Arabidopsis thaliana: one gene and its partners. The protein of the gene in region 4 interacts with the protein of the main gene of each other region in a pairwise test. Each region holds a gene or a part of one and is shown on either strand. Other genes may lie near its edges.

What was found.
Region 1: the proteins of AT3G25805 (region 4) and AT5G08050 interact in a protein complementation assay, tested with the Arabidopsis thaliana proteins (one large-scale study listed by BioGRID).
Region 2: the proteins of AT3G25805 (region 4) and RING interact in a protein complementation assay, tested with the Arabidopsis thaliana proteins (one large-scale study listed by BioGRID).
Region 3: the proteins of AT3G25805 (region 4) and AT2G38330 interact in a protein complementation assay, tested with the Arabidopsis thaliana proteins (one large-scale study listed by BioGRID).

What each region holds. Positions count from the first base shown.
Region 1 is NC_003076.8:2,575,058-2,581,834, reverse strand, and holds AT5G08050 (wiskott-aldrich syndrome family protein, putative (DUF1118)), read right to left. Parts: upstream 3,625-6,777; 5' UTR 3,418-3,624; coding exon 3,319-3,417; intron 3,249-3,318; coding exon 2,871-3,248; 3' UTR 2,630-2,870; downstream 1-2,629. Other genes in the region: AT5G08060 (furry), read right to left, coding at 852-1,247; AT5G08055 (Defensin-like (DEFL) family protein), read right to left, coding at 2,033-2,220, 2,377-2,434; TOM5 (mitochondrial import receptor subunit TOM5-like protein), read left to right, coding at 3,762-3,848, 4,400-4,477; GDPD6 (PLC-like phosphodiesterases superfamily protein), read left to right, coding at 5,020-5,077, 5,155-5,336, 5,411-5,594, 5,683-5,867, 5,959-6,177, 6,254-6,409, 6,504-6,683.
Region 2 is NC_003075.7:10,711,715-10,718,496, forward strand, and holds RING (SBP (S-ribonuclease binding protein) family protein), read right to left. Parts: upstream 3,032-6,782; 5' UTR 2,922-3,031; coding exon 2,866-2,921; intron 2,778-2,865; coding exon 1,919-2,777; 3' UTR 1,696-1,918; downstream 1-1,695.
Region 3 is NC_003071.7:16,061,434-16,070,122, reverse strand, and holds AT2G38330 (MATE efflux family protein), read right to left. Parts: upstream 5,621-8,689; 5' UTR 5,553-5,620; coding exon 5,338-5,552; intron 5,258-5,337; coding exon 5,148-5,257; intron 5,062-5,147; coding exon 4,909-5,061; intron 4,806-4,908; coding exon 4,684-4,805; intron 4,582-4,683; coding exon 4,446-4,581; intron 4,294-4,445; coding exon 4,197-4,293; intron 4,099-4,196; coding exon 3,998-4,098; intron 3,920-3,997; coding exon 3,756-3,919; intron 3,616-3,755; coding exon 3,544-3,615; intron 3,456-3,543; coding exon 3,339-3,455; intron 3,258-3,338; coding exon 3,162-3,257; intron 3,076-3,161; coding exon 2,954-3,075; intron 2,866-2,953; coding exon 2,805-2,865; 3' UTR 2,686-2,804; downstream 1-2,685. Other genes in the region: PRA1.B4 (prenylated RAB acceptor 1.B4), read left to right, coding at 1-283; AT2G38350 (uncharacterized protein), read right to left, coding at 815-1,054, 1,732-1,782; DREB19 (Integrase-type DNA-binding superfamily protein), read left to right, coding at 1,942-2,676.
Region 4 is NC_003074.8:9,423,940-9,431,643, forward strand, and holds AT3G25805 (uncharacterized protein), read right to left. Parts: upstream 4,339-7,704; 5' UTR 4,231-4,338; coding exon 3,910-4,230; intron 3,375-3,909; coding exon 3,281-3,374; intron 3,193-3,280; coding exon 3,155-3,192; intron 3,069-3,154; coding exon 2,933-3,068; intron 2,834-2,932; coding exon 2,415-2,833; 3' UTR 2,299-2,414; downstream 1-2,298. Other genes in the region: PP2AA2 (protein phosphatase 2A subunit A2), read right to left, coding at 1-105, 371-451, 553-694, 855-934, 1,015-1,127, 1,205-1,844; AT3G25810 (Terpenoid cyclases/Protein prenyltransferases superfamily protein), read left to right, coding at 6,866-7,075, 7,457-7,704.

The DNA of each region.
Region 1 (6,777 bases), on a different chromosome or scaffold from region 4:
ACAGCAACAGGGAGAAATAGAAAAAACCTACAATAAACATGACAGTAAGCACAGAATGCACTAACTCTAAATCTATTGCAGCTAATAGTGCAGGACAAAAGGTCCAAACAATTCCCCCCCTGATGCCATCATGTTCTTCCTCCACCTAAGAGCTTTAATTTAGAACTGCTCATCAATGTTTGGATTCTAACCTCACAGAGAGAAAAATACTTCAAAAACGACCATAAAACCTAGAAAAAGCTTACTATACTGTAAATTTAGTAGAATCGAATTGGTATAACGATGGCTCACTCTTGAGCATAAGTTTAAGTTATGACCTAGCCCACTAGCTTATGACCCCAATTTCACTAAGTGACATCCCCAATTCCCAATCGAAACGTTATTCAGTCACTCGGAAAGAACTTGGTAAGAAAGTGTACAACTTTAGAAATCAAACCAGAAGCCAATAATGCACTTAGCCATATAACAAAGCTTGATTCCTAATTCCTAAATTCAAAAGCATTCACCTAGAGCCTTACACGAATCGGTAATCACAACATCACTCATGCTATATTACTTGGGAAAACACTAAAGCCTAAAATTTCAACCTTGCAGAAGTCAAGATTCATTTTCCAATTAAGAAACTTTAACTGCAACAAATCTAGAATCCAGAATTCCCCACAGTTATCTAGTCAGCCTTGAGATTAGATACGAACCCTAAAACTAAAGTCGAAAATTCCAATGCCATTACGAAGAAACTAAATCAATATATCCACCACAAGGTCCAAAACCTGATTACATCAGCTCATAATCCAATAATCAAATGAATCCGAACACAAGAAAAAAAAAACTCAAATTTGATAATCACCTGATTATTTCTCGTAGCCTCCACCACGCGTATCCAAATCCTCCTCGACTGTGGTGGTCAAGTAAACCTTAGGGAAGTCCGAGACGTCAAAACTCTTCTTCTCGTTCATCATCTGAACCACGTTGTCCTTCGTCAATACGTATCGCCGGATCGGTGGGCGGTTTCTGCGCTGATCTCTGCCGTGGTATACGATGTTGTATACGGTCTCTGGATCCGAGGAAGGCACGATTGCTTCTTCATCAATCGTAGCGGGGCATCGGAGACGATACTCCGTCGCCTTTGGAACAGCTTCGAGGTATTCTGGGTGAGCGCAAGGTCCGGTGATCTGCCATGGCTTCTTGATGTACCGCCTAAGGTTTTGCACAAGCGAGGAAGCCGCCGTCGACACTGATTTCGCCATTGTTGAGAGACCTTCGCTTCGATTTGGGGAGATGAAACCAAAGTTCGAATCGAAATCGAAGGATTATTAAACCGGTCTCATATATTGGATTGGTTCAATACTTTAAACCGATAAATAACCTCCCAGTGTACTGCTTTGGTTACAAAAACTCGGAGAGAAGAGAGACGTCACGTCGTCAATGATTTTGAGATTCTGTGATGATGAGATTATTGTTAAAGTAGGCCCAATACAAAATTTGAATCCATTATAGTTGGGCCTAAGGTTTTATAGTTACACTTCCAGTCAAATATCGTTACATATCTTGTCAATTATAGTTGGCCCAAAATAACATATTATTCTTTTGAAATATGTGTATGGATTCAATTTTAGTTTTGGGCCTACTTAACAATCTCATCATCACAGAGTTTGTTACACATCTTTGGTTACACCGGTCTGAGATAGTGGATTGGTCAAACATTTAAACCGAGATTTAACATCCAAGTCTACTAGTTTGGTTACAAAAATTGAGATTATGTGGTGATGAGATTTTTTTTTTTTTTTAACACCAAATCAATTATATTATATTATAAAAATGTTACAGAATACATGATTCATGGTTTTATAAAAGCCCTTTATAAATTGAAACTGACATCAAGTTGGGTGAGATTTTGAGAGTATATAATAAACTCTTTGGCTTTGTGGTCTTATTACTTATGAAGTCATGGGATATTCATAGTTTCATACTCATACATATGTTAGTAATCAAACAAACGCATTAACGCATGCATAAATTTTTTAATTGTGAGTTAACAATAACAATGACATAGTCCTCCGTGAGACATAGCTTTGCAGTAATCGCCTTTTCCATTCCCGCATCCATTGTGACACCAACGGTTACATCTCTGATTGTCATTGTTTGTGTTGCACTTTCCAAATTTCGGGTGGTTATTACAACACAAGGAACCACCACTCTCTACATTATATCCTTCAACATCTGCCAATATCACACAAAATTGAAACAGTTTTGCCTAATATGAGTTCATGGAATTTTGTAATTAAAGTAACAAGTTTGTATTGAAACACAAAAATAAGTTTGTTAGTGTTATAAACACTCGAGAAAATACCCCTAGTTATAAGAGAGAAGACGTACCAACTGAGAAAGTGAGAACAAGGATCAAAGCAAAAGAAAAAACTTTCAAACTGGCCATTGTTACTAGTCCTTTTAGATTTTTATAAGTGTTTAAGTTTGGTTTGTTTTCAGATAAAAAGAAAGATATATGTTGTTCTTATTTATACCTAATGGATACCACAATTTTAGTTGATCTGTTGATGAAAAAAACTTGTTTTTGCTAATTATACTGTAACGTTTTGTCTAGTCTATTGGAAAATTCAAACCCTTCATGTTCTGTTGTGACAGACAACTTCTTCTTGTTGCACATAACAAAAACAATAAGTAAACGTATTGAAATTCAAAACGTTTCTCTTGGATTCTGTATATGAAACCATTTACATAGATAGAAAATAGTGAAAATGACTGGTTGATACAATGTAGATCAAATACATTATAAAGTTTTCATCTTAAATGCAGAAAAGTCTCTTGCTACACCGGGTAAATATATTTGATACAAAAAAAAAACGATCGGGCTAATCAGATTTCTGCAAATTGGAGACAAAACCAGAAGCAGCAAAAGCAGCAGAGCCACCAAGAACAGAGAGTAGAGCCACAAGAACCTGAATCACTACTTCCCAAGTGTAATCTTCAGGAACCACATATGCAAAAACCGGTCCAAGAAGGAGTAAACCGAGGCTCAAAGTGAATAACGTTCCAGGCGTTTCCGGGTTTGTGGCGGCAGACAAAACGCCGAACTCCTCTGCTTTGGTCAGCAATCCAAGACGCTCGATGGTCGATAGAGAGAAACCTGATTTCTCTGCTAAAGACAAAAGTCCTGCTTTCTCGGCTTTGGTCAGAAGCTTGAGCTGCTCGACTCTTGTCAGCAGTTTCACCTGTGGAGTCGCTGTGCTCTGCCAAACATAACAAAGAGATTAGATTTTGGGACATATAAGAAGATAAATTTTGATTTTCAACTTTTACCTTCTTTGAGGTTATTGTTCTTGTTGCAGCAGAAGGTGATGGCTTCTTATTTGCCATTGAATGCACTGTTAAAGACGAACAGATTAGTTTAGCCGCCATTATCTCTCTCTGTCTCTTTCCCTGGTTTTGTCAAAGCTTTTTCTTCAATGGAGAAACCAAGAGCTTGTAGATCACACAAGCTTTGAGATTGCTAGGAGGAATAGGATTGTGTTGAACACGTGTCGTTCGGCGAGTGGTTAACTCTTCTCCGGTTGAAATCAATCCAAATCACATCACTTTTTACCGGTTATTAGTATATTAGTAAAGGTTAGTTTGGTAATTAAACAAAACGTAAACCCTTAATAAGTTAACCGACTAAAATTTCCCGATCCCAATTCGTCGTTTTAAAAGCCCTAGCTTCTTCTTTTTTCGACGATCAAAAGTTTCGATTTTTCAGCAGCAAGATGGTGAACAACGTTGTCTCTATCGAAAAGATGAAAGCACTCTGGCACTCCGAGGTTCATGATGAACAAAAATGGGCGGTGAACATGGTAACCTTCATACATTCTCTCTTTCGTTTAATTCCGACTTGATTGTCTATTGAATATCGAAGTCTCGATTCTCTTGTATGTTTCATGATTAGATTCTGGGCTTTCGGCTGAATTTAATGAGTTGTACAGCGATTTTGAATTACGGTTTAGGATTTACAAATTGATTCAATTGAGCGTACAATGTGATTCTTTTGTCTTTCTTATGAAATTGTGTGTTCGAATGGGAATTGAATTTAATGAGTTCGTTTTGGGTTTCAGAATTTAACGTAGGATTGATTTTCTCTCCTATGCTTCGATAGGCCAAATCAGATGACCTTATCTTATCTCTGTGTCTTCTTCTTATGAAATTGTGTGTTCGAATGGGAATGTTGGGTCTCTTAGAGGTTTAGGGTTTATCAATCACAAGTTAAGTTCATGCCTTTGAAGTATTTGGATGTTCGAATGGGAATTTGGGGATGTTGGGTCTCTTAGAGATTTAGGGTTTATTATAGTTCATGCCTTTGAAGTATTTGGATCGAAATCTGTCTCATACGAATTCCTTTTGGTTGCAGAAACTTCTGCGAGCACTTGGTATGTTTGCAGGAGGAGTCGTCCTCATGCGTAGCTATGGGGATCTCATGGGAGTTTGAGAAGAAGAATGGAGGATCATGGGAGTTTGAGAAGAATGGAGGAGCCTCTCTTTAGTTTTCACTCTCTCAAACTCTTGTATTTTCTTCTCTAGAATTGGTGTGAACTCGTTTCTGATTTGTGTCTTGGGATGCTATAAAAGAGTTAATTTTCCATTCACAACCGCTTCGTGATTGCATTTTATCATCGACAATTTCATTCAACCAGAGATTGTTTTACAAACTTGGCTTGTCATGATCGACAAGCAAGTACATTTTGTAATTAACAAAGGATCAAAAGACTAGAACATAGCAATACAATCTGGATCTGCAACTTCACTTCGTTCTAAAACTACACTGCCTTATGATATCTGCGATCATTTAAAATGTAAAACTAAAACCTAGTGAATAGAAGAAGAATATACTTTCAAACAACACGGAGTTTATCTTCTATTGGCATACTAGATTTCTCAGAGGAATATTCTTAATGCTGATTGGGTTGTTACGATTTTTTGGCTAAATCTTCTAAAGATAAGTTGCAGGTCTATCTATATAATGTTGGATTCATGCAGTGTGGTCGTTGGAGGAATTTTTCTAGCTCAAATTCAGTCATGGCCTTCAAGTGTAAGTGTCAAATCTCCATTGTTTCTATGTCTAAGTTGATTCTTCGTTTAAAGCAATTTTTGTTATAATTTTTGCAGATCTTCTACCATTGCTTTTACTGTCATTGTTGGTTGCTAATTGTGCCTCAAGGCCTTTGTATCGTCTCCCAAGCGAAGCAAAACATGCAACCAAGAAACCACTTCAGACTTCCCGTCCTTACAACCTTGCACACAGAGGATCAAACGGAGAGCTCCCTGAAGAAACTGCTCCTGCATATATGGTATTGGATCTATACAAAAGTCTCTTACCTTTACACTAATTTTGTCTGGTTTCACAAGGTTTTTTTGATTGCAGAGGGCCATAGAGGAGGGTGCAGATTTTATAGAAACCGATATTTTGTCTTCCAAAGACGGTGTTCTTATATGTCACCACGATGTTAATCTCGATGATACAACCGATGTTGCAGACCATAAGGAGTTTGCAGACCGTAAGAGGACTTATGAAGTCCAAGGAATGAACATGACCGGCTTCTTCACTGGTAACTAAAAACATTCCATTATCATTTGTTTTGATATAGTTTCATTTTTTTCAAATTTTGACGATGAGATTGAACATTCCAAGAACAGTTGATTTTACTCTCAAAGAGCTGAAAACACTTGGTGCAAAGCAGAGGTATCCTTTCAGGGATCAACAATACAATGGTAAATTCCCGATTATTACCTTCGACGAGTATATTTCGATAGCACTGGATGCACCTAGAGTGGTTGGGATATATCCAGAGATCAAGAATCCGGTTTTCATGAATCAGCAAGTAAGCAAACCATCAAATCTTAGCTTCAACTTTTAGTCATTGATGATAACAAATGGAGAGGATGTTAAATTGTATTTGGAAACTTGTGCAGGTGAAGTGGGCGGATGGTAAAAAATTTGAAGATAAATTTGTGGAAACTTTGAAGAAATATGGATACAAAGGCTCATATCTGTCTGAAGATTGGTTAAAACAGCCAATATTTATTCAGTCTTTTGCAGCAACTTCGCTAGTTTACATTTCAAACATGACAGACTCACCAAAATTGTTTTTGATCGACGATGTCACTATTCTTACCGAAGACACTAATAAGGTATTTACATATTCACTTTCTTCCTTTCTCATTATGTCAAAATTGCTTATACATAAGGTAATGAATGTGAATGCAGACTTACGCAGAGATCACATCAGACGCATATTTGGATTACATTAAACCATATGTAATTGGGATTGGTCCATGGAAAGACACAATTGTTCCTGTGAACAATAACCGTCTCATGACACCAACAGATTTAGTTGCGAGAGCACATTCGCGTAATCTTCAGGTTTGTGTGTAGGACTTGAACTCCTGTCTCCACTCTCTTACTATCATCACTGATTTGTTTCATTAAACTTCACGTTGAATAATGTTTTTGCTAGGTCCATCCATACACATACCGTAATGAGAACCAGTTTCTGCATTTAGAGTTTAATCAGGACCCTTACCTAGAGTATGATTATTGGCTCAATAAGATCGGTGTTGATGGTTTGTTCACTGATTTCACTGGAAGTCTACACAATTACCAGGAATTGAAGTCTCCTTTGCCTCAGCAACAGTGATTCTCCAATTGAATTTGTTCTTTTCTTTCTTATGCTAGTTTATGTTCTCTTAGGATTTTTTTTTACAAACCCATGGATGTTTCCATTTTCTTCG
Region 2 (6,782 bases), on a different chromosome or scaffold from region 4:
ATGTTACGGGTCTAGTCACTCTAGCCATTAACTTCATGGCTACGAAAGTAATTTCACAATTTTCCGAAAATTCTGTATGTGATCATTTTTGAAACTGGTTTTACCTGATTCTTTTGATATGTTGTTGTCGGGTGCTTTGTAATATCGATCTTCTCGTATGATTGCCTCCTCTTGTCTTTCTAGTTTTTTTTTCTTATGGAATCTATCACATTATACATGTCTTGTGGTAGATTTGTAATGGGATTGGTCACACGATGTCATAGTATTCCTATGTTCCTTTTTTCTCTCCAAGGTATCTTGCCGTGTAATATTTTTCCATCTCTCAAATCTAGAGTACTAATAATTAAGAAATCTAAAGCCTAATAGATAGTGTATGGACCGACAAAAAATAATAGATAGTGTATGGAAGTATCCGAACAGCCCATTTGAGAAGCCAGCCCTTTTACGGAATCACTTCTTCTAGTATTTGGTTGTTATTCGGATAATCGGATCTTCTAATTCATGCTAGGTTTGGTAATGGTACGACGATAATGTTTGATATTATTCTAAAATAAACGATAACTATCCTTTAAAATAATATCTAAGACTTTAGAAACGCTTTATAGATTTTTATAGTCCCCACAAATAATAACAACCATGATTTTTTCTGATATCTAAAATTATAAGAGTATTTCGCATCAGAAAAAAAAAAAGAATACAATCCAAATATACTTATGAATTGTTGGAAGTAAATTTTTTAGACAAAGCTCCAATTAGTCACAAACATTATCTTTGCAACAATCACTAACTAATTTATTTTTTCTTATTCCCTTGTCCAAACTCGTATAAAGTATAAACAAATTAAAAGATAGGGTTAGGTGAATATAACATAAAACTTTGGGCGAGGGTAAGTAACTACGTAATGTAGGGGCATGGCCAAAAGGAAAAAAATAAGTATGGGTAAGAACGAAGACATGGAAAAATGTGAATTCAAACTCTCTCTTTAATTAATTTCTGTACGAATCATCGCAGAGTCGTACCATTTTCATTTTCGCCACTATTTCGTTTCGTGCCATTTGATCCAAATAATTCTAAGACATAAATTAAACTAAATTATTGGATAGAGACATGGTAACGTTTCTTGGACGCAATCATCGTAACTCGTGAATTCACACATCGTATTCATCGTTCTAATTTCGTCGTTTATAGAATTAATATAGGATATAATTTTAAAAATCCATTTTAGTGGGGGTATTTTATTTTGTCTAGACATGCACTGCACATGACATGATCCGAATATGAAATATTTATTACACGACAACTATAATGACTATGAACTGAAAATGTCGTTGAGACAATCGAATTCAGACTATTTCTTTTTCTTTTATCATAATTTATTTTAGTTTCGATAGCGAAGTATGATTCTTCTGGTTGAATATAGTTGCGGGGTTGGAAAGATAAAGGATACTTCCAAATTGCAATAGTATATATCCATAGACCATTTTTATACCTTTTTCAATTTATATCGACGCTATGATAATCTTTAAAAGGTGGTAGATAATTCAAACTCATGTGATCGACTTTGAGAATAAGCAACCAAACAACGGTGCAACTTAAAAAGAACTCTGGAATATTTACTTTTCAAAACATTTTCGAATCACTTTAAATTCATTTATATGATTTATTCTTTCTTTTTTTCCCACACATAATGAGAGGAGGAGCCTTTAAATTCTCTTCGACAAATTATTTCGTCTTTCTTTTTTGCAATTTTCAGTCTTGGATTCCATTTAAGTCGTAAGAAAATCAAGAGTTAACCAAAAACTAATTTATATGTACTTACAAAAAGAAAAGAATCAATTTGCTATTTCTTTTGCGAATATAATCCTAAGGAAACAAAAAAAATATAAATTAAATTGTAACGAACAAAAAAAAAAGATGGTCAAGAAGACATGTTAACATGCACACTAGCGTTCATGACCATATCGCAAACCGGACAAGTCCGTAACAAAGCCGAACCACCACAAACCGTACACAAACACAAATGACGACATGGTAACACCAACACACTCGCTTCTCTCTCACCGCACCGTTTACAACCACCACCAACCGCCGTTACCGCTTCACCACCACCATCACCGCAACAACTTCCACAACTCGATTCCGCATCGTCTTCTACAACGGCTGAAGCGGTTGGAAACGTTTCGAGTTGAGCAAGAACTTGGTCTAGGTTTGTTCGAAGAGTATTAGCGTTTGCTTCGTTGGTTTGAGCGATATCACGCCAAATCTGATTTTCGACGTAAAGACTCTTCACCCTCTCTTGTAAAACCCAGTTTAGGTTTCGAATCCGTACGATTTCATCGTCTTTCTCTTTTAGTTTCTTGGCTATAACGTTTTGAACCGCAGACGCTAACATCCGCGTTTGCGTTTGTTGCCTTGCTTCAATCTCTATTCTTAGCTTCTCCGTTTGCTGAGCTACGAACCTATCGATCTCTGACTGTTGTTGGTTTTGAATCTGAGATACGAGTTCAACGTTTATCAACGACGGTGATGATGAGTCAAACGCTACGGACCTCCGTTTAACCGGAGCGTTTGAGTCTGAGAATTGAAAATCTCGCTGGCGTTTTGTAGACAGAGGAGGAACAGTGAAATTGTAACTGAGACCACTTTCTGCTTTGTTGAAGTTGGCTTTCGCAGCTAAAGGCTCAACGGCGAAAGATTCTCCGGTTATTAACGGAACTTCACCGCCGGTAAACTCAAACTCGCCGTGGTTCATGTTTTCTTGAAATTTAACACAATCTCTGCAAATAACAAAAATAAAAAAGATTAGAGGAAAATAAAAACAGAGGAAGTTTGTTTGTGAGAAGAATATAAAAATGAGATTTTTACCTGTTTGGTGATATAAACTGAGAGAAAATGTTCATGTGATGAGCTTGAACAGCCATTGTTGTTGAAAAAAGCTCCTAGAGATTCTGAAACAAAGAGAGAGAGAAGAGGGAGGAGTTGTGGCGACTGGTGAAGAAATCTATGGGATTGGCTTTTATTTAAGGGAGAGAAAAAAGTCAATATTTTTTTAATTTTCTATAAATACATATTTATTACTTTTACTATTTAAATATTTTAGATATTTAGAATAATTATGAATTCAAATTAGATATTGACTTTCATGGTATATTACCAATTGTGTTTAGTAATTAAAGTTTTTGTAAATTAAATGTTAGTAAAATACAGTTGATTTTTGTAAAAGGAAAAAGAAAAAGAAACAACCAATTTTATGAACTTAAAAGGAATATAATCTAGAGAAATATAAAATATACTAAGTTTTTATTCAACAATATATACTATCTTTCTTGAAGTTTGCAAATATTGGGACGTGTAAAAAGTTTTTTTTTTGTAATATTTCTTTCTTATTTATTGATGCACTCATGCATGTTTCCTTAGCAACATCCACATAAACATATGCAAGCTTGACTAGTCAAAGAGCCATTATAAAATCAATAAATTTTTTTTTGCTAATATGTTAATGATATTAGCATAAACTATTCGATTTTTTCTTTTGTTGAAAAAACTATTAGATTTTATGTTCTTGTCCATCCTTTTTTGTATTATTTCTAAAATTTAAAGATGCAAATCCTATAAAAAAAGGTGCAAAGCTGTTTTTTCCTTAAATGCATTTTTAAAAATGTGTAAAGCTGTCTTTCCTAATAAAATTTTTATGTTAGTTCACTGTATTCTCTTCTGTAAAAAGATTCCAAATTAACCTCTCTTTAGTCAACCCATATTTTTCTTATTAACTTTTCCTTATTTTGTGATTACTGTAATTAAATTTCATATCAAAAGATAGTATTAAATATGCATACTCTTCATTTCTTCAGTTTTATTTTATTTAAAATTTAAACCATTCCCATGATTTTAATTTTACAAACTATAAAGTTACTCTCGTAATTTTATTCAATGTGGCAAAGCTCCGCTTTATATCTGCCATGTCATCTTCCACCGTGGCATATTTGGGACTTGTGATTTACTTTTCTAAATTTTCCGTGAGCTATCTTAAGATCATGTAGCGGTGCATTGTATTAAACGAAATGGCACAAAACAATAATTTAACCATTGTAAATACATTTCTAAAGTTAATATGTTTCTTAATTTTGTTTTGTCGTAACTGGTTAAGTTGCACGTGAGAAGCGTGTGGGGCCATGATGTGAAGATTGAGGCCACGTCTAAGTGGGACCAAGAAAAACTTTCTGTTTCATTTCTTCGTGAAATTTTCAATAAATTAATAATTGTTTAGAAATAAATAAAAAAGATTTATTGTTTCGGTACCACCAATTTTGTTTGCTTCTTGAATTGTCGTCTGGTCGCTTTTTAATTTTTAATTAGTAATTTCCGTATTAAAGAAAAAAAAAAGGAAAGAGAAAATCGGAATCATTCGATAATGTTATATAGTACGGACAAGTAGGTCTTGTCATAAAAGTGTGATTTCCTCGGTGTGGGACAGGTCGACCACACCAAACGAATAGTCTTTTTCTTTTCCTTATTTTCGTTTTCATGCCTCTCTCTATTTTTTTTTATTGTTAATCGATTTTTTATCCACTAAACAAACATTATCATGATGCGTATCTAATGTTGTTCATACCAATTTTTACATAGTAACTTGAGCACAAAAGAGTTAATCGATTATTTTTGTTATAGTTATTGAAAAAACACATATATATTTATTAGGGCTAGACATAAGTACTCGTTACTCGTCTTATATTCGCTACTTGATTCGTATTCGCCTTGAAAAAACAAATGCTCGTTTTTAACAAGGCAAGTAACAAGTAGTATAATTTAGATACTTGCAAGTACAAATCAAGTAACAAGTAATGAAAAAAAACTAATACTCGACTCGTTTGACTCGATACTCGTCATTATTTTACCATTTTCTATACATATATTGTATTGTTTTAGTGTTAGACACATTTTAAAACTATATTAGAAGTAAAGTAAATTTTAAATAAGTAAAAAATATGATAAATAAAATAATAAGTAATTTTAAGTAATTCGAAAGTGTTACTTGCAAGTAATTTATTTGCAAGTAATTCGCAAGTAGCAAGTAATAACTCGTAAATACTTGTAAATAACTCGTGAATATCAAGTAGTAACTCGTAAGTACATGTAAGTAACTCGCAAGTAGCAAGTAACAGGACAAGGCAAGTAACTCGCAAGGCAATCATATTTTAGCAAATACTTGAAATTGTAAGTACTCGTTTTCAATAAACCAAATACAATTACTTATTTGATTACTCGTACAAGGCAAGTCGAGTAACAAGTATCCCTAAAATAGCAAGTACTAGCCTTGCGCCCACCCCTAATACTTACGTTAAAGTGGACGATCTCAATCTCTTTTTACAACCGAGAATTGTGTAAATATCGGTTCAGTCTTTCTTTACCGATACATCATATCTATTTTGAACTCAACAACATTTTTTGGTGTAATAGAAGTTTTTCCACATATGATATTAAAAGAAAAATCAATTTAGAAGACCAAACCACGATTATTTTCCTTAAAAGTAACAGTACTGAACAACTTTGAGGATAAACCAGACTCGTCGAAAAAGACAACTTCGGTTGTCTTTTCTTTCTCAACTTCATTTGTATATATATTTTGTCGACATATTCGTTTGTCTAATTATCGATTTTGCTCCAATGTCAGAAACTAAGCCTAACATCATCACTTGTTCAGAGCTTTTTATCATTTTAGAATAGACTACTTATTTGTCCCATTATACGTTTTCAAATTCATTTTCAATTTATATTCTATATGTGGATTTCTAATTAATATTGATTTCGTAAGTTAGACAAACGAACAAGATAGATGTGGACGTACGTGGCCGAGTTCATGCTATATATGAAGGAAACGTGACAAGATGAAAACTCCTAACTTTTTAAAATCAAACAACTAGTGTGAATTGAATTCTCTAATCATGTATATAGCTAGTGTCGTCAATTGCTTTATTTTATAAACATATACATTGATTCTTTCAGTCGCGGATTAGTTATTACTAATTATTTGCGTAATAGATAGATATTTTTTTCAAATTAAGTTTCAAAAATTATAAAAACAACGAGATATTTTTTTCACCTAAGATGTTTATACTTTATAGAGACTCAAACAAATATTCAACAATTTTACATAGATGATCGAACTTAATATTTGATTTTGATCCACTTGACAATTTTACATAGATGTTTTTTTTTCCACAAAAAAAACTCCTACGTTTATATTGTCCCTTTTACAGTTAAACCTTTTCATTTTCATTTTGTTTTATATGCTATGTGTTATGTATGTACTATTTCTCTTTAACAACAGATAATGACATGACATTAATATTTACATTCATATTATATAAAAAGACAAGAAAAAATGCGGAAAGAAAGTTGAAGAACGACATATATAACTTTTGAAAACTCGAATTGGTCCATCCTTATCGGCACCAACTACTAGTAGGTGTCAGTCAGATTGATCCATCCCGGCTTGGTCTATGCACGAGTTTAACGGATGACATATACATATAAGGTCGATTCGTTTTTTTTTTAGTTCACGGGTCATTTTTTGTTTTCTTTCTAATTTTATTCTGATTCTAATTTAAGGGTTAGTCTGGTTGATCCGTTTTTTAATATGTATATTATGATTTTATGATAAATAATTACATATCTATATATATTTATGATGAATATGAAACAAGTCTAAAAATATAAATATAAAAACATGAAAGGGTCATATATATTGATTGGTTGATTCTCCGAAGCCACCACCACTATTT
Region 3 (8,689 bases), on a different chromosome or scaffold from region 4:
CACGGATCAGCCGATCGTTCTATTCGGTCGTACATTCTCCGATCGTGAGACGTTAGGGTGTTTGATTTTGTTCAGTATCTTTGTGATCTTCCTCACCGATGTTGGATCTGTTCTGGTTTCGGCTATGATGATTGGTGTTGCGTTGATCTGTGCTCATGGTGCTTTTAGAGCTCCGGAAGATCTTTTCCTTGATGAGCAAGAGCCTGCTGCTACCGGATTCCTCTCTTTCCTCGGTGGTGCCGCCTCTTCAGCCGCGCCTGCTGTTATCGCCGCTCGCGTGTAAATGCGATTCCGATCTACCATTCCCTCGCCTGGGTAAATCTTTCTATATGATTCATTTGTTGAATTTGATACTTAGATTTTGTTTTTTTAATCTGAAAACAATAAACGTGAAAATGTTGTGGATCTGGCCTAATTTTGGTTCTTGTTCATGGGCAATAGCTATAGATGAAATATATATCTTTGCATGATTTTGATTTGATGAAGTTTTACTACCGTTTTGTGTTAATCTTTAGCCTTTTTTAATTTACAAGTGTTGTTTTGGAAGATATGGATTTATTTCATGATCAAATTCAAAATGCAATGGATCTGTTTATTAGAACTTGTAGCCATCTTTTGATTTGTTATGTGACTACATTGCACTGCGTGTATACAATCAAAAGAGTCAAATTTGGATGCATGTGCATGCAAGATCCATCCAAATTTCACCAGTTTTCAAAAGCACCCATCATAAGACAGACCTGGATCAGAGTCGTAGGATTTAACGAAAGGAAATTACTTCCTATTGAGGATGAGCAGCAGAACAATATCCACATTACGCATTTACGCTACTTGACTTGACTTGAAATCGTGGGTCGGAGCAAATGCGATGCACAAATAATTCGATGAGCAGCTTTAGTATTGGGCTTCGTACTCGAGTCCGGCCCAGTATAAGCTCATTTACTTCTTTTCGAGTCCAGTTCGGCAAAGGCCCAATGTCTATGAAATATCGAATTGGTGGCGTATACCCTAAGCCAACAAGGAAGCTTCGTTTTAAAAATGATTTGTTACTTACCTAAAATTAATAGTATTGGGTGACAATCCACCTTACATTCTTATCTTTTTAAGGGTTTTAGCTTACGGTATAAGTCACCAATTTGACATCTTCCATCAACGAAAATTAGTAAATTACAAAAAAGTACAAAGTCTTAGTCGCAAATATCTCTATAACCAAAAGCAAAGCAATATCCTAAGTTGTATTGACCTCGGAAACTAGAATCTCCTTGAACTTGGGATTTGTCAATGCCAGTGACTTAGAAATTGTTCTTTGCGAAGGCAAAAGCTACAGTTTGTTAGTTGGCGCGCAATTTGAGCTGGGAAGAGTCCAATGAGAGTACCAAAAGTCTCGGACTAAACGTCTTCAAAAAAGTAACCATGGAATAATAATTTATTTTTATAGTATAGTTTGAAACAAAGAAAAAAAGAAACACGTTTGTCAGAAAAGTAATAAGTGGAAGATGTCAAATTGCTGGCTTGCACCGTAAGCCAAAAAAACACTGAAAAAGTAAAATTTCAATTTAAGGTGGATTGGTGCCCAAGACTTACAATATCTATTTCTTCACGATATTTACGATAATTTTCAAAGTCTTAGCCGCAAAGAAATCTATAATGACCAAAACATATTGAAAAACAAATCCTAGCATACCAGAATCTGCCTAAACTGGGAAGTCACCACGTGTCTTGTAGCCGTACATTTAATTGTCGTAAGCACCACGCGTGTTCTCTTAGACGGTATCTAGACATGTGTTCCCACCTTAATTTCTGAAGGCTCTGGTGAATTCTAGGACAATCTATGCAGACAAAAATTTATAGTTTATTGTTTGGTTTTATGTTCGAAATTTAATAGTGATTGTACTGCGCTCCGTAATATTTTCTACAGTTTGTACGTGTTGTGTTTTTCCAATGGAAAAGGAAGATAACGGATCGAAACAGAGCTCCTCTGCTTCTGTTGTATCCTCGAGAAGACGAAGAAGAGTGGTTGAGCCAGTGGAAGCGACGTTACAGAGATGGGAGGAAGAAGGATTGGCGAGAGCTCGTAGGGTTCAAGCCAAAGGTTCGAAGAAAGGTTGTATGAGAGGAAAAGGTGGACCAGAGAATCCTGTTTGTCGGTTTAGAGGTGTTCGACAAAGGGTTTGGGGGAAATGGGTTGCTGAGATACGTGAACCAGTGAGTCACCGTGGTGCAAACTCTAGTCGTAGTAAACGGCTTTGGCTTGGCACGTTTGCTACTGCAGCTGAAGCTGCTTTGGCTTACGACAGAGCTGCTAGTGTCATGTACGGACCCTATGCCAGGTTAAATTTCCCGGAAGATTTGGGTGGGGGAAGGAAGAAGGACGAGGAGGCGGAAAGTTCGGGAGGCTATTGGTTGGAAACTAACAAAGCCGGTAATGGCGTGATTGAAACGGAAGGTGGAAAAGACTATGTAGTCTACAATGAAGACGCTATTGAGCTTGGCCATGACAAGACTCAGAATCCTATGACTGATAATGAAATAGTGAACCCAGCAGTGAAATCAGAGGAAGGTTACAGCTATGATCGATTCAAATTGGATAACGGATTGTTGTATAATGAACCTCAAAGCTCCAGTTATCACCAGGGAGGTGGATTCGATTCATATTTTGAGTATTTCAGATTCTAGCTTAGGATTTATGCTGCATCAATATACTATGACTATGAGACTATGTTTTTTACATTGTTAGTTTACTCCATTTTCATTTATCTTAACTTAAGAGTCACGCATCATACCGCAAAAAACAGTGATCCGCTTCATTCTGGCTTCTCTGGAGCAGACCATAGCATTTTCCATGGACCGGTTCTTGTCCCCAATCTGAAACATGACGCAGTATCCTTTTAAGAAAAATTTCGGATGGGTTGAAAACTTGAAACTAGAACGGTCTTTTTAATTAATTGTTTACCTCCAGGCTCCAGCAACCAACCGCAACGCCATGAAGAGGAACAAACCAGTCCAGATCCCGGCAAGGCCAAACGTTGGTGCAGCCACAAGCATGAACAAGGAAGATATGAATCCGACAATCACCTGTTCCAAAATGAGAAATAATCAACTTTTTCCAGGTGAAGAAAAGGGAGAATCAAACGACCAATTGATGAAGAAGGAAAAGGGACCATAGAATAAGCGGCAAATCCGAAGTCAGAGACACCATAATAGAGCCCATCCAAAACAAACGCTAGAGCATTCACCGGTTGAGATCCAGCCACAAACTGCATCCAGCCAACATTATTTAGATATTGTCTGAGACTACCCTTTTCAAACTCTTTCTGGATTAAAAGATAAGATCTTACTAAGGTCCCTGACAAAGCAATCTTTAAAACTTCTGAATCCGTTGTGAATAAGCTTGAAAATGGTTCGAAAGTGATGAACAATACAGCAGCCAAACCAGTTCCAGTTGCTAAACCTACCTACTTAAAAGATTGCAATTGTACATTATAACATCGAATATATAGGGTAGGATATAAACTAGGGATGTAATGAATTATGAATACGAACTTGAAGGACTCCGAAGAGAACTTCCCGGGCTTGTTTGTATTCTCCTTGAGAGTAAGTGGTGGCAAGAAGACTCTGAAAATAGAGGTAGAAAATATAAGTGAAAATCTTCTCCCCAAAAGGTAATCTTGGATCATGCTAATGGGATTCTTATATCACAGTAAATCTTGGTAGAGATTGTCTGTTTCGAAGATGATTTGCAAAAGATATTAGACCTGTGCAGCAATGGCTAAAGCATCGGTGAGTAAAGAGACAGCCAACCAGATTTCCAAGACGATTTGATGGCCAGCCATTTGAGTGGGTCCATTTTGAGCTGCTAACGAAGTAGCTAATGTGAATGGCACAAGCAAAGCCACCGTTCTACCAATGAGAAGCCCACCTAAGCATGAATCAATACATTTCATATAGTAGCCTTTCTGAATCGTTTAAAGAAAACTTGAAAATTTTAAGGAATTACCTGATTTGAGGTACTGGTTGGCTCTTCCCACTTTGATTTGAGGAGAGAGCAAAACTACATTCTCATTCAACTTCCATAGAAGAATAAATGCAATCAAGTATCTGAAGAAACGTTGACAAGTGAGAAACATAAGAAGCCACAAATTAAGATAGATATGCTTTACTAGAAAACGAGTCTATTACCACATTTTTGGACATACTCAGAAATCACAGTAGCAGCCGCAGCACCAGAGATACCAAAACCAAGGACAAATATCAGGATTGGATCCAATACCGCATTAAGTACATTCCCCGCAACTGTTGATATAGAGTTCACCATATTAGAAACATGTATGTGAAACTGCTAATGCATATATACGGTCTAGTGAGCTAATGCGCATATACTATTTATTTCCTCAGATCCATTCATGCATAAATACAAAAAAAATAGATGATTGTGCAATACTTGCCAACGGCATATAGAGGCGTTGTTGTGTCCTTGAAACCTCGAAAAGCTCCTTGCGCAGCCAATGCAACAACAATTGGTGGTGCACCATACGCTCGAAGTCTGAGGAACTGCTCTGCTGGTATCCGCATTGGTGAATCCTAAAAAAATTACAAACCGAGAAAGAAGAGCGATCAGCTATACAAAACTTCAAAGATAACAGCTTATATAAAAGAAGTTCAACGTGAGCTTAGAGACATTACAAAAGGTATAGCCATGACATCCATCAAGAAATCAGACCCGAGAGATAGCGCAATGGCCTCTGCAATACCAACTCCAGCAGCAAGAACTAATGAAGTTGAAACCGAAGGCAGCACTTTCTTGCCTTTAACACCAACAAATAAACAACAGATTCAAAGTAAAGAAACAATCTTTGAAGAAAACAATAAAAACATTTTTCATTATAAGCTTTAAGGAAAGTAAAATACTTGTTTCTATAGAATCATTATCATCCTTAGCAGCAATTGCTTGCTCCTCCGCAACAAACGATGTTGTGACATTTAGTAAAGGAACATTGAAGAGCTTCGACACCAAATTGAATACAGAAACTGACACTCCTACTGCAGCTAATTCCGCAGAACCTGTCACATTACACATATGAATGTTAAAAATGTGAACTTTCGAAAAATGTGAAATTGTTGAAACCAAGCAAAAAGTAAGTATTTACCAATATGGCCAACGAAGGCAGTGTCGACAAGAGATGTTATAGGATCAGCAGCTAAAGCTAATGCAGCAGGTAATGCAATTGACATTATCTCCATTCCAATTTTACCAATCCTAAACCCAAAAAAATCAAATACATTAGAAACCATTCAAAGTTGAATACAGAAGAAGCATTATTAGGCTAAGGTACGAACCCAGGATCCGGTTTGTGATCATGATCCGGTTTATTCTGTGAAGTCAGAGGATTCTGCTGCTTTTCCGGTCGCTGAGAAGAAGTGGAGACGGCTGGAGATTCATCGCGAGGAGATGATTTACAGACGATTGTTCTTCGAATGGATGAATTAGGGTTTCCAAAACGTGACGGCGATCGATGGGGAGAGAAACAGAAGGAGGTAGCGACCGCCGCCATTGCGGAGAACGAGAGACGGAGAAAAATCTCGGCGGAGGAGGAAGAAAGAGAGCCACATGTTGATGTTCACTCTTTTTATCTATCTCTACTCACTAACTGATTAAACGGTCACATGTCTAAACTAGCTGTACCTTATGGATGGGCCTTTAATGGGCTTTTTATTGGGCTTTTAAATAGCTTGTTTGTTTGTTACTTTGTTTTTTGTTTTTTTTTCTGCCAATGTTACACTTTGTATCTTTAAGATAGCTTCATCTTTTTTCTTTGTTGTGCCGTGACTCTCATATGTAAGTCATGAGTTTGATTCGTGTATTATCACTCACTTTCTCAATTTAGCAACAACTCAAAAGAAATATCTCTTTCTCCAGTTATCTTGTGACTTGGATTTGCATTTTTTTTATACACTTAAAATTTTGTTTAGTTGTTTTTTGAATGGATCCAAATTTGGATTATAGGTCCGCATATTTTGATTTTTGGGAGTATATTTGAAATCCGCATATCTAGTGTTCAAGAATCTTGATATAGAAAGTTGTAAGATCATTTGATATCCTAAAACTCAGAATTCTTTTTTTGGGTTCAAAAGCAATAACTAGTTCTTAAGAGCATATATTGGGAAAAAATAAAAATAAAGATCAAGGACGTGTTTCATGATTCAGCAGAGTTGGTTTTTGTTTTGTTTTTTGGGTTCAAAAGCAGAGTTGGATTTTAATAGATAAAGAAACATAGAGTACAAGAGTAAGGCATAGAATTGAAGTCAGCCAATTTACATCGAAAATTGGAGCGTTAGTTAAAAGAATTTATTGAGAGAGTTGCGACGCCGTGCAGCATCAGCAGAGCAGCCTCACATGACTTGCGGTCCCAGCAAATTACAGAAGAAGAAGACCTATCCTCTCTCTTTTTGAACAACCTGATTATGCACGTTGAAATACAGTAACACGTCTAACACTAGTATCATATTAAGTAAATAATACTAAATGGACCATATAACTCTTCATTCAACTTTATCAATAATGTAAGTTTGTAAGGTATTAATTAAATACCGGGGTTTACTTCTCCTATGATTATTTTATAACATTAGAATTTTGTAGTAGCATTAGGCTGTATTTTGAAAAGAAAAAACCTTTGTAATAGCATTACTATTTTACTCAGTAGTTAGAAGATGTGTTAGGAACTTGTATATGATTGGTCGGATCGATTACTGATTAAACCTTAAACCGTTGCTCATTGGTCTTTTTTATAACAATTCATAATATAACATATGAAAGAATGAAATACATATAATATATAGCTTGGGAACGCGTTCTCCTAAATTCCATACAACAGTTTGTCACTAAAATACCAAATTAGTAATTCTAAATACCAAATTATCCATTATTGACCAATACTGGTTATCATCCATTCCAAATTTAGATATAGACATACTTAGTGGCACAGGCTGTATACAACAGTTTGTCACTAAAATTCATTGTAAATGGCTACTTTCTCCTAAATTCAATACAACGTTTTACGTTGCAACCTTTGCAAAATATAATGATTTTTACAACGAAAATGAATACTACATATCCCAACGTTTTGACTATATTATAAATCCCAATGTTTGCAGAAAGTCACTGGACTACCAAGACAAACTAAATAGTTATTTAGTTTAAACAAGCGAGATGTATAACTTCTATATACAGAGCAACTATCTTTGGTTAGAACTCCGGACCATAAATATATTCGTACTAAATTGGCAAAGAAACAAACATGCATAGAATTCAAATTAGAAATTAAATTTCCGGTTTCTTGTATTCGATCTCTTTTTCTTGAATGTTACATAAATTCATGCAATTAACATATTAATAAGGTCTCTGAAGAAGAAAGTGAAAACGTAGAAGAAGAATCACCAAGAATATGCGACCAAAAAACTCACCATGAAGATAACATACAAGATACTGGAAAATTTGCAAATGAACCTACTAGAAAAAATAAATGTAACTGTGTATATGCATGTTGGTCCACGTGGTTCATGCAGAGCATATCTGTTCCCCACTTACCCTGACCCCAACCGCGAGCACTATAAAGTGAGTAAATCCTAAACAAATCTTAAAGAAAATGATACTAGTATATGTAACTTTTGGTTAGTATGTAACATCTCCGATTCTACTTTAATGTAAGAATATTGTATATAACTGATTGGCGTTCACCCTTTTCAGAATAATTGGTTTAGAATGTTTGGACCGACATTAATTAACTAATTTTACCAAAACGGTAATAAGAACACTAATAATTGTAATTAATTAATAAAATACAGATGAAACTTACCCGACGGTGGCTGACTGCACCGGAGAAAGAGACTAAAGATGAGATCTAATCTGTTCTTTCATGTTTTGTTTTAGACAAAATACTATAGTTTCTTAGTTTAAACAAAAGAGATAGAAAATAAGACACGTTTATAAAAGATAGCTTAAATGGACAGTAAAAAGAATTGATTCTCAAGTGATTTTAGGCGTTTTGCCTCGGCCTTTTTCATTGTAGTAAGAAGAGCCAATGAAACTCAGGATGGATAGCGCCAAAAAATAGATAACGAATGTGATCATCATGGCGCTATCCCTCCTGAGCTTTACAGATTCTTCTCTACTTTGTTTTTTTGGGTTGTGACTTAGAGAAAGATAAAACCGATTATAGAGAGATAGTGAAGCTAAAAAGATGGAAGTGAGGAAGAAGGAGAAGAGAAGGTGCTATTTATAGACGAACAAAACTCGGGTTCGAAGGAACACACGTCATCTCCTCTTCGTTAAACGTGAAATTATTCATTTCTATATTTTCTTACCAAAATATATATCTGATGACTACCTTTTTTTCCCCCCTATAATAATGTATTTATTAAATTTCTTAGCTTTTTTAGTGTGGAAAGTATTGATACTATATAGTCCAGATGTGATTTATTGGATCCCGTTGATTGTTTGACTTTAGTTTCTTCTTCTGAGGCCTTTTGATTCACAGAAATGAAGGAAGCTTAATTCAAAATACATGATAATGCTTTTGTTGACGAACAATTATAGATGCATCTATTATAATATATGCTATCAGTTTAACCCGGACTTTAATTACGTATATGTATATATACACACATTGCATATCCTATTGTGATTTAAATA
Region 4 (7,704 bases):
CTGATTCACTTGGTCAAGTTTGCTGATAATGTTCAAGCGTACATCCGGGAACTCATCTTTCAATAGAGAAAGAAAGATTGGAAGGAGATGCTCAATTGTTGCATCCTAAAATAGAAAAAACAACGTGAAGTTAAAATCTGCAACATACACAATCCAACCAAAACATCCTGTATAAGAAACGCACGTCAATTAAACTCATTTTTGTACAATTGGTAACAACCTAAGTATATTTCTTCTTAATGATGAAAGAGCACATGAGACGCTTCAGACATCAGGACGAAAAACAGTTGGACATAGTCATAATCATTAAGATGCTAAAATGAATTTGTGCATTATGAACCAACACATCTCTGTTTGCAAACTCTCTTACCTTACCCAAGACTGGAGCCATTCCCATTATAACTGAGGCCAATGCAGATCTGACATGCTGAGAAGAGTCTGATGATAGCTCCTACAGGTAGCATTAAGAGGAATCATCAGTAATATGCAACAACTATACGTTGATTTTCTGTAAGGAACTTGGAAAACAATTGAATTCTCTTAAGCATGTACCTTCACACAGGGGAGAATGTGCTGGATAGCAATTTCAGGGTTTAGAATCCGACAAAACTTTGTAACTTTTCCGGCAGCTGCTATGCGTACTTCAGCTTCATTATCACGAAGTAGGCGCACATATGCAGGCACCAGCTCCGTCCTTAAAATAGAAGACACAGTAAATAGTATCAAGAGGAAGTAAATGGGATCATCAAGTTCCTTAAGCCTATTGGATGATATGCATTTCTATATTGAACATTAAATTAGCCCATCAAAGGTATTAAAACATGCTGCATTAGGTTTATGCAAAACGTTCTTACCTAGTAGGCTCAGGTCCCACGGCTTCACAAAGCTCGTAGAGTTGATTTGCAACCATATAGCGCACACGCCAAGACTTATCCTGCTCAGTGAAAAAGTACAAAGATTAAGCATTTCTTTTAAATGTAGATCATCAGCATAAAAGCCTACAGACATAATCACCTGCGAGAAATTAACAATCACGGGAAGAATGTGTTGGACACAATCCTGAGGCTCCAACAATTTCCCAAGAGCAGCACAACCCTCAACGGCCAATAATCTAACAGAATCTTGATCTGATATGAAAAAAACGTAAGATGAAATTCGACAAATATATATGCTGTAGAGTAAATAAACGCTCAGTGTTCAATACCATCTTGAGTAAGATCCTCAAACATGGACATAACGTCGGTCTTCAAATGCGCTGATTCAACCGTAGCAGCAAATTTCCCAAGATTAGTTGCTGCAGCTCTCCTTACCATCGGCATATCATCCTGACAAAGCTGAGTATACAACGATCTTAACTCAGTCTTCAACATATCCGGCGCGCTCGGGTATGCAATATGGAAAACACCGCAAGCCGATACTCTAGCTGTGAACCACTCACCAGCGGCAAGTCGCTTAACTAACGAAATGAAATGATCAACCAAGTCACTCTCCCTCATCTGAGAGCCAACTCTACAAAGCGACTCAACAGCTTTCTCCCTAACACAAGTTTCTTCGACAGTCGAAAGAGTTTCCAAAGGTGGAAGAAGAACATGTGCATACTCAACACCACCAACATAAGGAATAAACACACCCAATTCTTCAGCCATTGCTAATAAAACCTCATCATCATCGTCATTGTTTTCGCTAAGGAAAGGGATCAATTCCTTTCTAGTCCTCTCTTCCCCAAGAGCACGAGCGATCGTAGAAAGCCTTCTGATGGAATTCAATCTTAGCTGAATATCATCGTTTTTTAACTCGTCTATAAGTACGGCGATTGGGTACAACGGCTCATCGATCATAGACATCTTCAACAACACCAACAACAAAATTACAGCATAATTATAACGAGATCGTAAAATCAATTTCCAGAGCCCAATTCTCAGGAGATGATCAATTAGGCGAATCTAAATTACCATTTCTATCAAAAGATAAACAGACCAACAATCAAATCGGAAATTGGGTCTTACCTCAACACAAACACGGCTCAATTTTCTCCTCAACGAAACACAAAATTTCGTTCGACCTACGAAGAAAAAAAAGAGGATCTAATGGCGAAATGTCTCTTTTCTTTATTGAGAGCAAACGACGACGTCTTTATTTAATTGGAACCATACCCTTCTTAAATGGGCTTTAACGGGCCTTTTGGCCCACGACGTTTATGCTGTTTCGGTCAGGACTTTACTTTTGCGATTCATTTCTTGCAATTTACCAATTTTATAGAGTTTTCACTATTCCTTCGTGAAATATAAATTCAAATGTGGAAAAAACATTACCGATACAAATGATAGAATTTTCTAAAAATGACATAACAAAATTTCCATAATATAATTACATTTGTTATAAGTACAACGACAATATGTGTGTATACTAACAAATTAAATTGATTCATCTTCGAGATTGAGAAACAAATGATATGCAAGTAAACCAAAAACAGGAACAAACCTTAGATACTTCACCAATTCAATCTTGTTCTTCTTCACATTTTGCAGGTTCTCTCCAATCAACCATGGCTGAAAGATTGTGTACAGACATATATCCCATATAAACGCGTAAGCTAGTCTCTCCGATCCCAAATAACCAATCAGATACTGCCATCTGTCCATGATTCCACCGAAATCACCATCTGCTCGACCGTAGAGAGACCACAATGCTGATATCAGACACACCGTAGCTCCGGTCAGACCAACTATTGGTGCACCTTTGGTCATCACTTCACCAAGTTGAGACCTTTTGCTTGGTTTATCATCTGGGTCAGCGTCATTGAGCCGTAAAGCCATGTATGGGATTAGAAACGCTGTTTGCAACATGAGATCAACAGAACCAATAATCTAGTTTAGAGGGTTGCTTTCCAGAGAAACTGAACTTCTTAAATAAAAACTAAAGTTGTATTTACTGTTTGTAAGGAACATCATGAGACTCCATAAGACGTCAAGAGAGCTTTTGTATCGATTTCTCTTTCGGTCTGTGTATAGCAATGGAGCAAACATGAGTGTCCAAGCTATTACAAAGTTGAATAACCCTTCAGCCATCTGTTGAATTTAAAAAAAAAAAAACAATTTCAGAACGATTTACTTTCACTAATACACAAAAACCTGTTCAGCTCAAAGGTACAAACCGGGTGAAGAACAGGAGCTTGTAAGAAGTGAATACCAGCTGTTCTGTCACAAAGTCCATAAGCAAGAAACTTTCATCAAAGATCAAACAGGTAAACGAAATCGATATATCTTAAGGCTGAACATACCGGCGTTTGTAAGAGGCAAGACAAAGAAGAAATTCAGAGAAAGTCCCAAAAGAGAATTCACTGTCTCTGAACTAATTGCCCAAACTGGATCTCCCTGTTGATCATAGAGATTATTTTCTAATTAAGCAACCATACAAGATTACACAATCTAAGATAATGCTAACCACAAGCACATATCATGATAATCTATAGAGAGAAGAGCAAATCTCAGTAATAAGTTGAAGATAACAACAAAACTATTCGATTCTCAAAGCATTCAAGCAGAGAAATTGAAAAAGTTCTCATTCCTAAAATCATCCAAAATCCAAATTACTTTTGAAGATTCATCAATGTGATGCTACATAAACCTTCCAAACATTCACATAATCCATAGATAAATTAGTAGCCACATAGAACTATGGCTATATCAGGAACTATGAGTATGATTCAAAAAGAACAAACCTACTAGATTCTCAAAACATTCAAGCAGAGAAATTGAAATGGTTCTCAATTCCTAAAATTATCCTAAATACTTTCAAGATTAATCAATGTGGTGATTCTACATAAACCTTAGAAACATTCACACAGATATATCAATGTCTCAATCTCAGGAACTATGAATACGAATTTTTGAAGGTATTATCACTCACAGGAGCGTAAGGGAGAAGAAAGAGCCATAGTATATACACAGCTTCACTAGTCCATAGAAGATACCGAACAATTCTCCTTATAGAATCATCTTCAACCTCTACCGTCGCCGTCTCCGGTTTCCGGCGAGCACAGCATAAGAAGGAACTGTCTCGTGTTCGTAATTTGAAACGATTCGTAGACTGCCATGGATTGTAGCAGCGATCGACTGTGGAGATTTCTCTACTCCGAAGAAAATGGCGGCGAATTTGTGGCGATTTGATTTGGGAACTGTGGAGACGGTGACGGAGATATGTCAACGTCGGTGAGGTTATCAGAATCATCGTCGTCCCTTCACTGCATTATCCACCGTTTAGTCGGAGAATTTTTTTTATTTATCTGAGAGAGACTTGCTAAAACGGCAGCGTATTGGTTATCTAAATTTGAAAGCAACGACGTCGTTTTAATTGAATCGAATTACACATTACAGTTGGCTTTAAACAGGCCATTGGCCCACGGCCTTATAAAACGCCGTTTCGGTGAGACACTGAAATTGGATAGTCACATCATTATTATGGGTGCTAAGCCAAATATCTTTTTCATCATTATTATTCGACATTCCTCAATTTTCGTCAACTTCTTTTAACAACCCCAAAATCATGGTTATATAACTTTGCTTTATATCTAGAGGCTTAGTTAAATAAATAAATAAATTCAAAATTAAAAGAACATTGAATCATGTAGGCAAGATTCAATTTCAACTATTTTGGTTAATTTTATTATTTATTTTCATTTAATTATTGTGGAACGTATGATTTATTCATGTAGATAGTTTTCTAATCTCATTAGAATATCTTATCATATAATTTAAGTGTGGACCAAAACATAATTTATTTCTTCTACGTTATTTCTCTTTTTTTTTTGTGTGCAAAATACTTGTATTCATTCAATCAAGAAAGAACCAAATACAAAGAGAACTGACTTATTTCTCTATATGTAAATTATTGAAGAAATTATACCTTTTAAAAAAATAAAAATGTATCGAGATACATTTAAATTTCTGTTGTATGTAATGTGTATACGTGTAATCCAATTTCTTGGGATTCTATATAATTATTTATGTTGTTATGGTCTGTACAAAAATATCACATGCTTATAATATAAGAGATATTTCTTTTATACGTATGTATTCTTTTAATGGTTTTTAATATAGCAATATTAAGATTCATTGTTCATCTAAATAAGTTTTTATTAGTTAGCGCAAAAATAAAAACTCGTTTGGAGAAACAAAAAATGGTTAAAGCGATTAAATATTGTTTTTCAATACATTAAAATTGTTTGCCATCTTCTAAAGTTGTTTACTCACTTCAGAATACATATGATACTCTCTAATGGGAAGAATCCCATGAGCCAAAACCAATTGTCTTTGGAGTAGAAAAAACTTATAGATCTTTTTGTGGAATCATAACCCTAGATTCAGTAGGGTTTATTGAAAAAGGAAAAGATAATACATATCCTAACAAGACATATCCAAACTAATCCACAAAAAAACTAGACGATTCGTGATATATTGGAGATATCAAATGTACGATGTGGCTTCGAATTCCTGCCAAATTCAAAGGGATCTAAAAGGTCTTTAATGATTCTTCATATGTCATGAATTTCTACTACATTGGGATGAAAGTAAGTTAGTTAGTTTTTATTTGTTTGCTTTTCATTTTTGCTAAAATTTTTGATGAATTTTATCAAATATAAAACACAGTAGCGTAGACTATATTGTTAAATTTTTTTTGATGAATTTTATCAAATTTAAAAATACAATAGCGTGATTTTGAGAATAAAGCCTATAATTTTCCTTCATACGGCTTATTGAGTATACATTAGAACTATATTTTTTACAATAGGATAACATAGTTCTGAAATGAGTAAATTGAAAAGAGTTTTTGAATTGATTGAAGTATGATTCTGGTTGTTTAGAAAAAAAAAAAAAATTAATAAAAGAATTAAACCATTATGTGTGAACTGTGAATCCAAATATTGTTCTTTTTCTCACTTTTATTAGTTAATCACTGATATATCTCATCAATCATAGATATTGTTTGCAAAAATACTTAAACCGTTTTGTGTACATTACGATCACAAAACAAGAGAATCACATAACCTTTTTTTCAAACTAACTTTTTTTATTAAGTTGAATCAAATAAGTTTACTTCTATATTATTTAATTATATCTCTCTACAACATTTAAAAACCAACACGTAAATTCGTATTAAAATAATATGGAAATTGTTTTTTCAAAATCCTCTACACATATAAGTTATTTGAATCATTAAAACGGAGTTACAAACTTTTTTTCTTCGATTATCAATGTTTTTCTCCTAAAGAACAAATGAAATCGACGACAACCTAATTTTTTTTGGCATGTCTGCCAACAAAACTCATAGCCATCAGATTGAACTGTCTTGTAATCAAACTTGAACTGTCTCCATCACTTAATCTTTGTACGCAGTTTTTATAACTTCTATATTTAATCATGTAGAAGATTTTAATTAGATAAATTTCAGTTACAAAAAGTGGATATTAGACATTGCGAAAAGAGTATTGACATGCAGCAAAATTGGGTAAAGTTTGTCACACTATTTAATTGAATATACTTGAAAAATAACTATTTATCTGGTAATCTTGTAAATAAAGATATAATAATAGATATCTTTAAATAATTGACTATGATTTATAATTTTATATGGTGAAAATAGAAATAAATTTGGTAAATAAGATATTGTAGTTGGCACATACACAAAAATAAACTTCAAGTTAAACCAAATTGGACAACCTATTGAAAAAAAAAAAAAACAGAAACAAAATCATGTACCGAAATAGTGTTCTAAGTCATCATTCTGACTCTGTCTATATAAAGTTATAAACGTATGTGTTCTCCAATATATTCAGCCAGAAAGAAGAGAATCTTATACTAATTCAATGGCTACTTTGTGTATAGGTTCAGCTCCTATTTACCAAAATGCATGTATCCATAATTTTCGTCTTCAACGTCCTCGTCGTTTCATATCCAAATCCATGACAAAAACGATGCCGGATGCTAATCCTCTTGACCTCCGTCGACGCTCGGGCAACTATCAACCTTCTTCATGGGACCATAGTTATCTCCTCTCCATCGAGAACAAATATGTGGTAAAGTATTCGTCATTATTAACGTTTCATTTGGTGACGTTTTTAATTACAAAAGTTGTTACTACACATGTAAATATTTTGGGAAAACTGACATGTGCATGGTTTTATTGGATCAATATTATCTGACAGACTATTTTTCTCATGAACTCTGGTTAGTATACATTTCATACATAGATATATATATATATATATATATATATATAAGAACATTTGGTTATACTTTTTTGTTAAAGGTATTAAGATAACTAATGTATTAAATATTTAACAAAAATGATTTATATATGCTATTAGATCATAAATCTGATTTTCTTTCTCTAAAATATCTCTTAGTAGCTAGTATTAAAGATGACTTACTAATTAGTTATAATATGATGGATACAGAATGAAAAAGAAGTGATAACTAGACATGTGTTGAAGAAAAAGGTGAAGAAGATGCTAGAGGAAGTAGAGACGAAGAGCCGTCTCGAGAAATTAGAGCTCATCGATGATTTACAAAAGCTTGGGGTTTCGTATCATTTTGAGCAAGAAATAAATAACATTTTGACAAATTTTCATCTTGAAAATGGAAAAAATATTTGGAAATGTGACAAGGAAGAAGATTTACATGCAACCGCACTCGAATTCCGACT